2 linked regions of the Xenopus tropicalis genome follow. The protein of the gene in region 2 interacts with the protein of the main gene of each other region in a biochemical or structural test. Links are inferred from orthologs where the notes say so. Each region holds a gene or a part of one and is shown on either strand. Other genes may lie near its edges. The genes, in order: arih1 and ccne1.

What was found.
Region 1: of the proteins of ccne1 (region 2) and arih1, one has a biochemical effect on the other in vitro, tested with the Homo sapiens proteins (3 studies listed by BioGRID). The link is inferred for Xenopus tropicalis from reciprocal best matches to the Homo sapiens genes CCNE1 and ARIH1.

What each region holds. Positions count from the first base shown.
Region 1 is NC_030679.2:92,188,812-92,192,137, reverse strand, and holds part of arih1 (E3 ubiquitin-protein ligase arih1), read right to left. Parts: intron 2,475-3,326; coding exon 2,417-2,474; intron 707-2,416; coding exon 446-706; intron 1-445. UniProt on the Homo sapiens protein: E3 ubiquitin-protein ligase, which catalyzes ubiquitination of target proteins together with ubiquitin-conjugating enzyme E2 UBE2L3.
Region 2 is NC_030680.2:71,333,149-71,337,746, forward strand, and holds the start of ccne1 (G1/S-specific cyclin-E1), read right to left. Parts: upstream 3,107-4,598; 5' UTR 3,054-3,106; intron 2,843-3,053; 5' UTR 2,804-2,842; coding exon 2,790-2,803; intron 2,693-2,789; coding exon 2,605-2,692; intron 2,508-2,604; coding exon 2,439-2,507; intron 1,567-2,438; coding exon 1,415-1,566; intron 103-1,414; coding exon 1-102. Other genes in the region: uncharacterized protein LOC549154, read left to right, coding at 3,916-4,170. UniProt on the Homo sapiens protein: Essential for the control of the cell cycle at the G1/S (start) transition.

The sequences.
Region 1 (3,326 bases), on a different chromosome or scaffold from region 2:
CTGCTGCTGAGTAAAGCCTGTCAGCCAGTGCTGTGACCAGTTCCTGCGGGAGACTGAAGCAACACTCCCATGTCTCATTTGGCTCTGGCTTCAGACTGGAGAGCTTGTGTATGCAGCTGTCATATAATGGCAGTTTTAGGAGGTAAAATGCTTTCAAAATATATTTCTTTCACTTCACATTTTGAGGGAGGATGAATATTATAACTGAATATGAATTTTATATAAAATGTCTCCTTTAAATGCACAAGTTGCATATTTCGCAGCATGCTGATTACTAGGCACTCCTGGAAATAACCACTTCCATGTCACATGCATCTAATAAGGCACGCTGCTCTTGTGTACGCAACATTAGCTGATAAGGTAGAGACCTTCTATGGGTAGAGAGACTTCCAATATGAATTTACATGTAGCTTATTCATTCCTCTTGCAGTCACAATGAGCTTACCTCAAATATAATAGACTGGTTGTTCTTCTTGAGGTAGAAGGCAAAGACATATGTGTACATTAGTGTGGAGCGACACTGGCACAGCACATCAACTGCCTTTTTTAGGAACTGAACCTCGATCCATGACATGTTGTGTTGCTGCATCTCCTCCATCTTTTGCTTCACTTGAGCATACAACTTGTGCTCAAATCGCAGGCTTTGCATGTGATTCATGTAGCGGTTGCAGTAGAAAAGATATCTTTGTAATGCTGCGCGGGATCTCTATTTCAATAGAAAGTAAAAGACACGGGTTAACAAGTAACCAACCATGATGAATGATAATACAGAAAGATGCCAAGCACTTGCTGAAGAGTATCACAACAAGGCACAAGTTATTTTTTCTATACAGTGAATAAACAAATACAGGATATGTTATCCAGAAACCCATATTCAGAAATATCCAAATTATGGACAAGCCATCAACCATGGAATCCATGTTAAGCAAATACTTTAAAGTTTTTAAGATAATTTTCTCTCTCCTCTAATAATAATAGTTCAGTTCTTTCTTTGTAGTATAAACAGAACAACAGAATAGGGTTCTCCCTCAACTGATGTAAATCTAAAAACAAAAAAGTTTCTCTAGCAGATGATAAAAACAGAGGCAAAGTACTCAGAATGGTCTCTCCAGAGACACTTGAGAAAGGGCTCTGCCTGAAACATGTAGTGTGCTGACACTGCCATTAAATTCACTGCAGTTTTCAAATGCTGCCTGGAACTGTCTGATTCCTTTTTGCCTTTTGATCTTATGATATACTGTTGGGGTGGCTCACAGACACCCCAGGAATCCGCAGCTGTATACTTACTGATTATTTGTGCTGAACTATAACCCAAAAAAATGTTTTGTCTCTCCAGAGTAGCCAGTATTTACAGTTAGTATATAGGTTTTTCTATTTAAATAAATAGTAACCTTTAAATTAACTTTTAGTATGATGTAGACACTAATATGAGAATTTGCATTTTTTTATATTTTGTACATTTTTAATGATATTTTTTCTTCATCAGCTCTAAATTTTGGAATTTTAGCAGTTGTTTGCTGGTGTCCAATTTACCCTAACAACCAGACGGTATTTTGAAACACTGGAAGATGAACAGGAGAAGACCTAAACAAAAAATATAAGCAGCAAAACTGCAAGTCTTTTCACTGCCAGGGTCAGCAACTCCCAGCTAAAAGCTGGAGAGACTCAAAGAAAAAAATAATTAAAAACTATAAACAAAAAATAATGACAAAATGAAGGCAAATTCAAAAGTAAGCAACTTAACTTAAAGGTAAACTATCCCTTTCAAGGCCATGCAGTCAATAATATAATTTATACAACTGTATTCATTTGGAGATAGCACAAAGATTGTTTTTGTCAAGAAGCAACTGTAAAATGTGAATATAAGTACTGTATATACTCGATTATACTCGAGTTGGGTGCCATGGGTCCCTCCAGACTAGCACCCTCTGTCCTTTGTTTGCAAATTAGGCCACCTGCAACCAGACCCTCCAGTGCCTGGCCCACTCCCAGTCGCAATACTTATTCCCCTTTACGTGTCCTCCGGGACTGGGTCTGGTGCCAGTTTGCCAATGCGCAGTGAGCATGGGGTAGTACTCATATTGTTTTTGTTGACCCTCTTCTCCACTTACAGAGCTAACATATACCCCACTGAAGCCTCAATTTATGTAATTTACTGGTTTTTATTTTGATTATTGAAACTTAGCAGTAGCGGCTGCATTTCCCACCCTAGGCTTATACTCGAGTCAATAAGTTTTTCCAGTTTTCTTAGGTAAAATTAGGTACCTCGGCTTATATTCGGTTTTGGCTTATACTCGAGTATATACGGTATGCATCAAAATATCTGATGTATGTATTCTACATGTATAGTGGGCCTGCCAATCTCTACCAAAAAAAAAAGAGCAGCATTTCATTAGAAGATGGAAGCTCTACTCACCTCTTGAGCATCTCGAGCAGCCTTTGCATCATCCTCATTGTAACGGTTACAATTATACCTGTAAGAGAGCAATGTAAGATATGGGAATGCTTATAATGTCCAGAAATTACCTTGAGATGATCATAAACTTTGCATTAAACCTGTTGATATACACTAAATATGTTGGAATGTATATGGGGTCCTTAGGGCTCTGGCACACGGGGAGATTAGTCGCTCGCGACAAATCTCCCTGTTCGCGGGCGACTAATCTCCCCGTATGCCATCCCACTGGCGATTTACATTTTCGCCGGTGGGATGGGATTTCGGGGAGATTAGTCGCTCGCGAACAGGGAGATTTGTCACGGGCGACTTATCTCCCTGTGTGCCAGAGCCCTTAAACGTAAAATGTGTACTTTTTAAAAAGTTTAACAGGATGCCACAGTCAATATCCAAATCTAGTTTATATTTGTACAGAACCTTTCTTATCTGTATATTTGCATTTACAAAGTGGGGTGCTTCGCCTTTAAGTTAATTTTTAGTATGTTACAGAATGGCCAATTTTAAGTAGCTTTTCAACTGGTCTTAATTTTTTCATTTATTTTGTATAGTTTTTAAATTATTTGCCTTCTTTTTCTGACTCCCAGCTTTTAAATGGGAGTGACTGACCCCAGCAGGCAACATTTTATTGTTTCTTTTTATTGCTTATCTTTCTATTCAGACCCTCTCCTACTCATATTTCTGCATCTCATTTAAACCATTCCCTGGTTATTAAGATCATTTGGACCCTAGCAATCAGATAGCTGCTGAAATTCCAAATTAGAAAGATGCTTAACAAAAATGGAAATGTTAGAAAAAACACAAATAAAAAAAAAAACGAATACCAATAGCACTCTCTCTCCATCATTCTAAAAGTTAACATACCACCATGTAC
Region 2 (4,598 bases):
TTAGGTTGCAACTGAGGGTGTTTTTGAAAAAAATTCTTGTCCCTCAGGTAAGTTCGGTCTTTGTTCAACATGTTTCTCCAGACATCATCTTGATTCGCCCATCTGCAAAGTAAGATTGTACTTAATACAGAGCTAGAACATCTGAATTGTATGATTAAGAACAGTCATTAAAAGCAGAGGACATAAAAAACATGTTATAATGTAGAAAGTTGTATCCTTGGACCATTGCCAATGAACTCCCCCCCCCCCCCCCCCCCCAACCACTTTTCTTGCCATTTTTTTTTTTTTAAATATAAAAGGCAATTTATTTAAAACCAGAAAAAAAATTCTGATTTGTCTCAAGAGATCAAAATCCCAGGTTAATATTCCTAAAATGAATAGACCCCCATTATTATAAATTTAGAAGTAATTTTTTTTTTCTCATTTTGGTGAGATTAATGACTAAGTGCACAAGACTGATGGAAAGAATATGCACGGTTTTAAGATACATTTAGGGCCTTTCCTGGTCCTTTATCATGTCTCTTATGAGAAACAGTCACCTTACAATGTATTCACAGCACACAAGTCATTAAGGGAAGTTTACAAGTGCTTAAAATAACTTCCATATAAACATTATAGAAATGATATTGACTGACAGAAGCTTGATAAAGCGTACCCCTTCCTGCTGTTGGCCTTTAACAAGCAGGTGCCAGCCAGCCAGGCTTTTAGTTTTCAGAGATCAGTTCTGATCAAATCGTATCAGAGGGCAATTTCTCAAAATACAAAACCAATGGCCAACACATGTATCAACTGGATGACTAAGGACAGTAAGCCCCCAGGTCATATTACATGCAACTATGATGCAGAATCTTTACTTGGAAAAAGTCTGATACCTGCTGTGACATAGATAAGGTCTTCTTTATTCTCCAGTAATAAGATTCACTGTAATGAATGCTGTTTGCATCACACAGGAACAGGCCAGTCATTTCTTTAAATGAAAAACTTGCAGCATTCTTATTATGGGACACTAATAGCCAAAACTGTAAATGCTATGGGACAAAGGATGGGTTTGGTTCTGACAAAAAAAGCTGTTGTACGTGGATAAACAATAGCCGACTGATGCTACCAGCCCCAAAATATTTGCTAGCTCTAGTTTCATAAGGGGTAGTAAAAATACAGTTTATAATTCTGCAAACCAACACCAGAATCAATGCATCACAGAAATGTCTGCCACAGGAAACTATTTATAGTGAATATAAGTACTAGCAAAGACACCTGGGCCATGTAAATGTCCTTCCTTATACTGTATTGTAGATCGCAACTACTATTGCCAAACTGCCCTTGTACTAAATGTCTGTCTGAAAAGTAAAGTGTTACAGATTCAATTGTGCTATAACACCACCAACGGAACAGTCAAGTTACACAAGGCATGTACCCAAGACGTGGAAGAGGAGAAACGCTGACTGGACTGAACCGGAGAGAAGCAAAGTGCGGGTAGCTGGTAGGGTTTTGTTCGTGTTCCTCTTTTTCAGGTGTAGGGATCAATTTGTGGGGGCTTTTGCATATCATTTCATTGCTCCATGGTCCCTAATGATAGAACAAGAAGTGTATAAAGGCAGAAAAACTACCAGACTATTATGATTAACACAACAAATAAACAGTAATGCATGTCTTTTAAATAACTCTTTATTGATGTACTGGGATATAATTACATTTTCAGATGAAATTTGTCAAATAAAGTACAAAAGTATTCCAAAGCTAAAAAATCAGAGTCACTGGTTATTTGGTTAAACAACAATTACCAAGAAGTGGTACACAAAAACAAACTATAGATACATTTAAATTGAAAGATACCACCTTAGATTATTTAATGCCCTTTAATAGCTGACAAATTCTAAATTCTTCCTATGTAGTGAAAGCCACAAACCGAGAAGCTGTAATTATGTTTAAAAAAAAAAAAAAATGCAATATGTAGTTTATAAAAAAAAAAAAAAAAATGCAGAATCATGCACATCTATTATGCAAAGCAAGGCAACTGTATGAAACCAAAACCTGGCAAAAAAAAAAAAAAAAAAGACTTCAAATGTCCTGAACTCTTATGAAACTTCTAGGGCTGATTGTGTATTTAATAAATGCCTAAGTTTAGACTTTAGGGCTGTATGTATTAAATGTGACATTAACAAAAAGCTTGATTTTACTGCATCTTACTCTTAAATGGCTTTTACATAAAACAGATTATAAGTCAACTTAGTCACCAACTAGAGTTTAATGATGAAATCATAGCTTGATCTTTATCAGTTGTACTAAACAACTAGATGTCTATGACTTCTTCCCTCATTAGTACTGAATAGGGGGCCTATGCAATAATATCAGTTTGTTAGCAACAGTGATGATACACAAATTTATGAGAGAGAATAATATGAAAAGCAGCAAGTGGTAAAGGCCCTTATGTTAATTACCCTGTCTTGATATTGTTTTTTCTTTGTCATTTCCAAGCAATCCAAGGTCTCATCTGGATCTTGCAAGTACTAAAAAGGAATAGAAGAAACAAGTTGAGAATGCCAGAGCAGAGTTAGTCACACACACAGTGTCCAAAACTGCACATGGCCCTTTGTATGAACTTACAATAGCCACATCTGCCTTTCTCTTTCTGGAGCGCACAGAACAGCTTGCCCTCTCCTCTCCCTTTGTGCCTTTTTCAACTGGAGGATTGCTAGAAAAAGAATATTATTAGAAATAATAATATCAGGGAATGTAAAGTTTCACCTCTCTGACATGTGCTGGTAGGTTAGCCATCTTTGTACACTTACCTTATCACGGGCATTTCAGGACTTTTTTTGAATGAAGGTTAACCTTTCTTACCCTGAAATTCAAGAAAGTGAAGGTTAAATTTAAGGCAAAACCCGGATTTAATTGAGAAAATGTTAGTAATGTGTTCCCCTGCCCCCACTAATGCTTTGGCGCCGGGAAGAAGGTGGAGGAAGGGAGGGTGGAGATGCAAAACAAGGCCTGAGACTTCCCTGCTTGTTACTGTAGATAATGTATAGCAGCACCCACAAAGTGTCACCCCGTACCCCGAGATCTTGTGCATGCAGCAGTCACAGCCAAGTGAAAGTAGGCTGAGAAGATGGCCGCACAACTTGTACTTAGTGGGGGGAAGGGACTAGACGTGCTTCCATCCCCCCCTAAGTCTTAAAAGAAGCAATTATAGTCGATTAATACACTCACAACAGTATCCCTCATTACAATACCTTCCGTAGACACAATATTTAACCCCTTTTGTACAGGCTATGAACTTTTGCAAAGCCGTAAAGCACGGATGTCCAACATGCAGCCCTCCGGCTGCTGCTTTAAAGTTGAACCCCTGAAACTTTGCCTGCCCAGAATCTTGTTGGGCAATCGGGAAAAGCGTGAAATGGACGTGTCCGTTGTGGGCCTTTAGGTGCATCGGTAAGTAGGTCAGAGACTTACCCACACACTGGATCCAATGGCGAAATGCTCGAAGATGGACAGAAGCAGATGGGAAGAGGCGAAGGCTAAAAGTTCTGTATGGGACAAGAGTATAAATATATAGCAGCGAGGGATGAATAGCAGGATATTGGGGAGACTTTGGCAATAACTTAGCCGTAAGTTAGGTGCATAAATAGATATATATTAGGTTCTTGTTGGGTAAAAGGAATAAATAGGACTAGCAATATACAGCTCGTTGCTGTAAGGCGACTTTGTGCTGTGCTTGGGGGTCTGTACAATGTGCAGCGAGATAACAGGGAGAGGGGGCCTGGGTGCACGCCGAGCCTGCAGCTGCTCCTGGCTCCGGATGGCCGCACTGAGCTGGCGGGTTCAGCCTTTATATGACAAGCGGCGGCACATTCAAACTGCAGCAGGCGCGCTAGCTTCCCTCTTTCGCCAACATCACCCCCAGGCTGCCACTTGGAAATGACCTCGTCTCCCCTCAAACTGAGGCCAAGTAAAAAGTTACAGATGCAGACCAAAGCCGGCCTCCCCACCACCTCCCGGGCCGGTTATAAACACAAGCAGTGCAGACACCGGCAAGAGGGGGCGGGGAGAAGCAAGTTTGGGGGCGTGTGGAAAGAACTAAGGGGCGGGCATCCGGAAGTCGGAAGAGCCACGTGGTTTGCTGAAGCTGGATGTAAACAAGAGGTTCCTGGGAACTGGGGGGACCGGCTTTTGGTAAGAAAACCTCTATTTTGAAACGTTATGGGTTTCTTTAGCGGACTAGCTGTGTTTGAATATCTCTTCTACGCAATTCCTCTGCTGAATCCCACACGCCGCTTATATTTATTGCCCTAATAATATCGCGATGCCTTTTAATAAGGACATTCTAAAGTCATGCATGTTTGTTAGATGTCCACTGTCCGACATAATGCTCGCATGTGATGTTATTAGTGTGCTCAGTTAAACTGAGGTTCTTTCTGTAGGTTATTCTGTGGCATGTCCAGGTGCCTTTGTTATCTGACAGCTTCATTACAGGAGTTTAGTATTGTTCTTGTTGTCAGTTACCCTCTCCCTTTCATTCCATCTAGAAAGGGCATCTGTTATGTATTATATACACTGCATTATATGTTGTTTAGCAGTCGGGGGAAGGTATGTGGGTATAC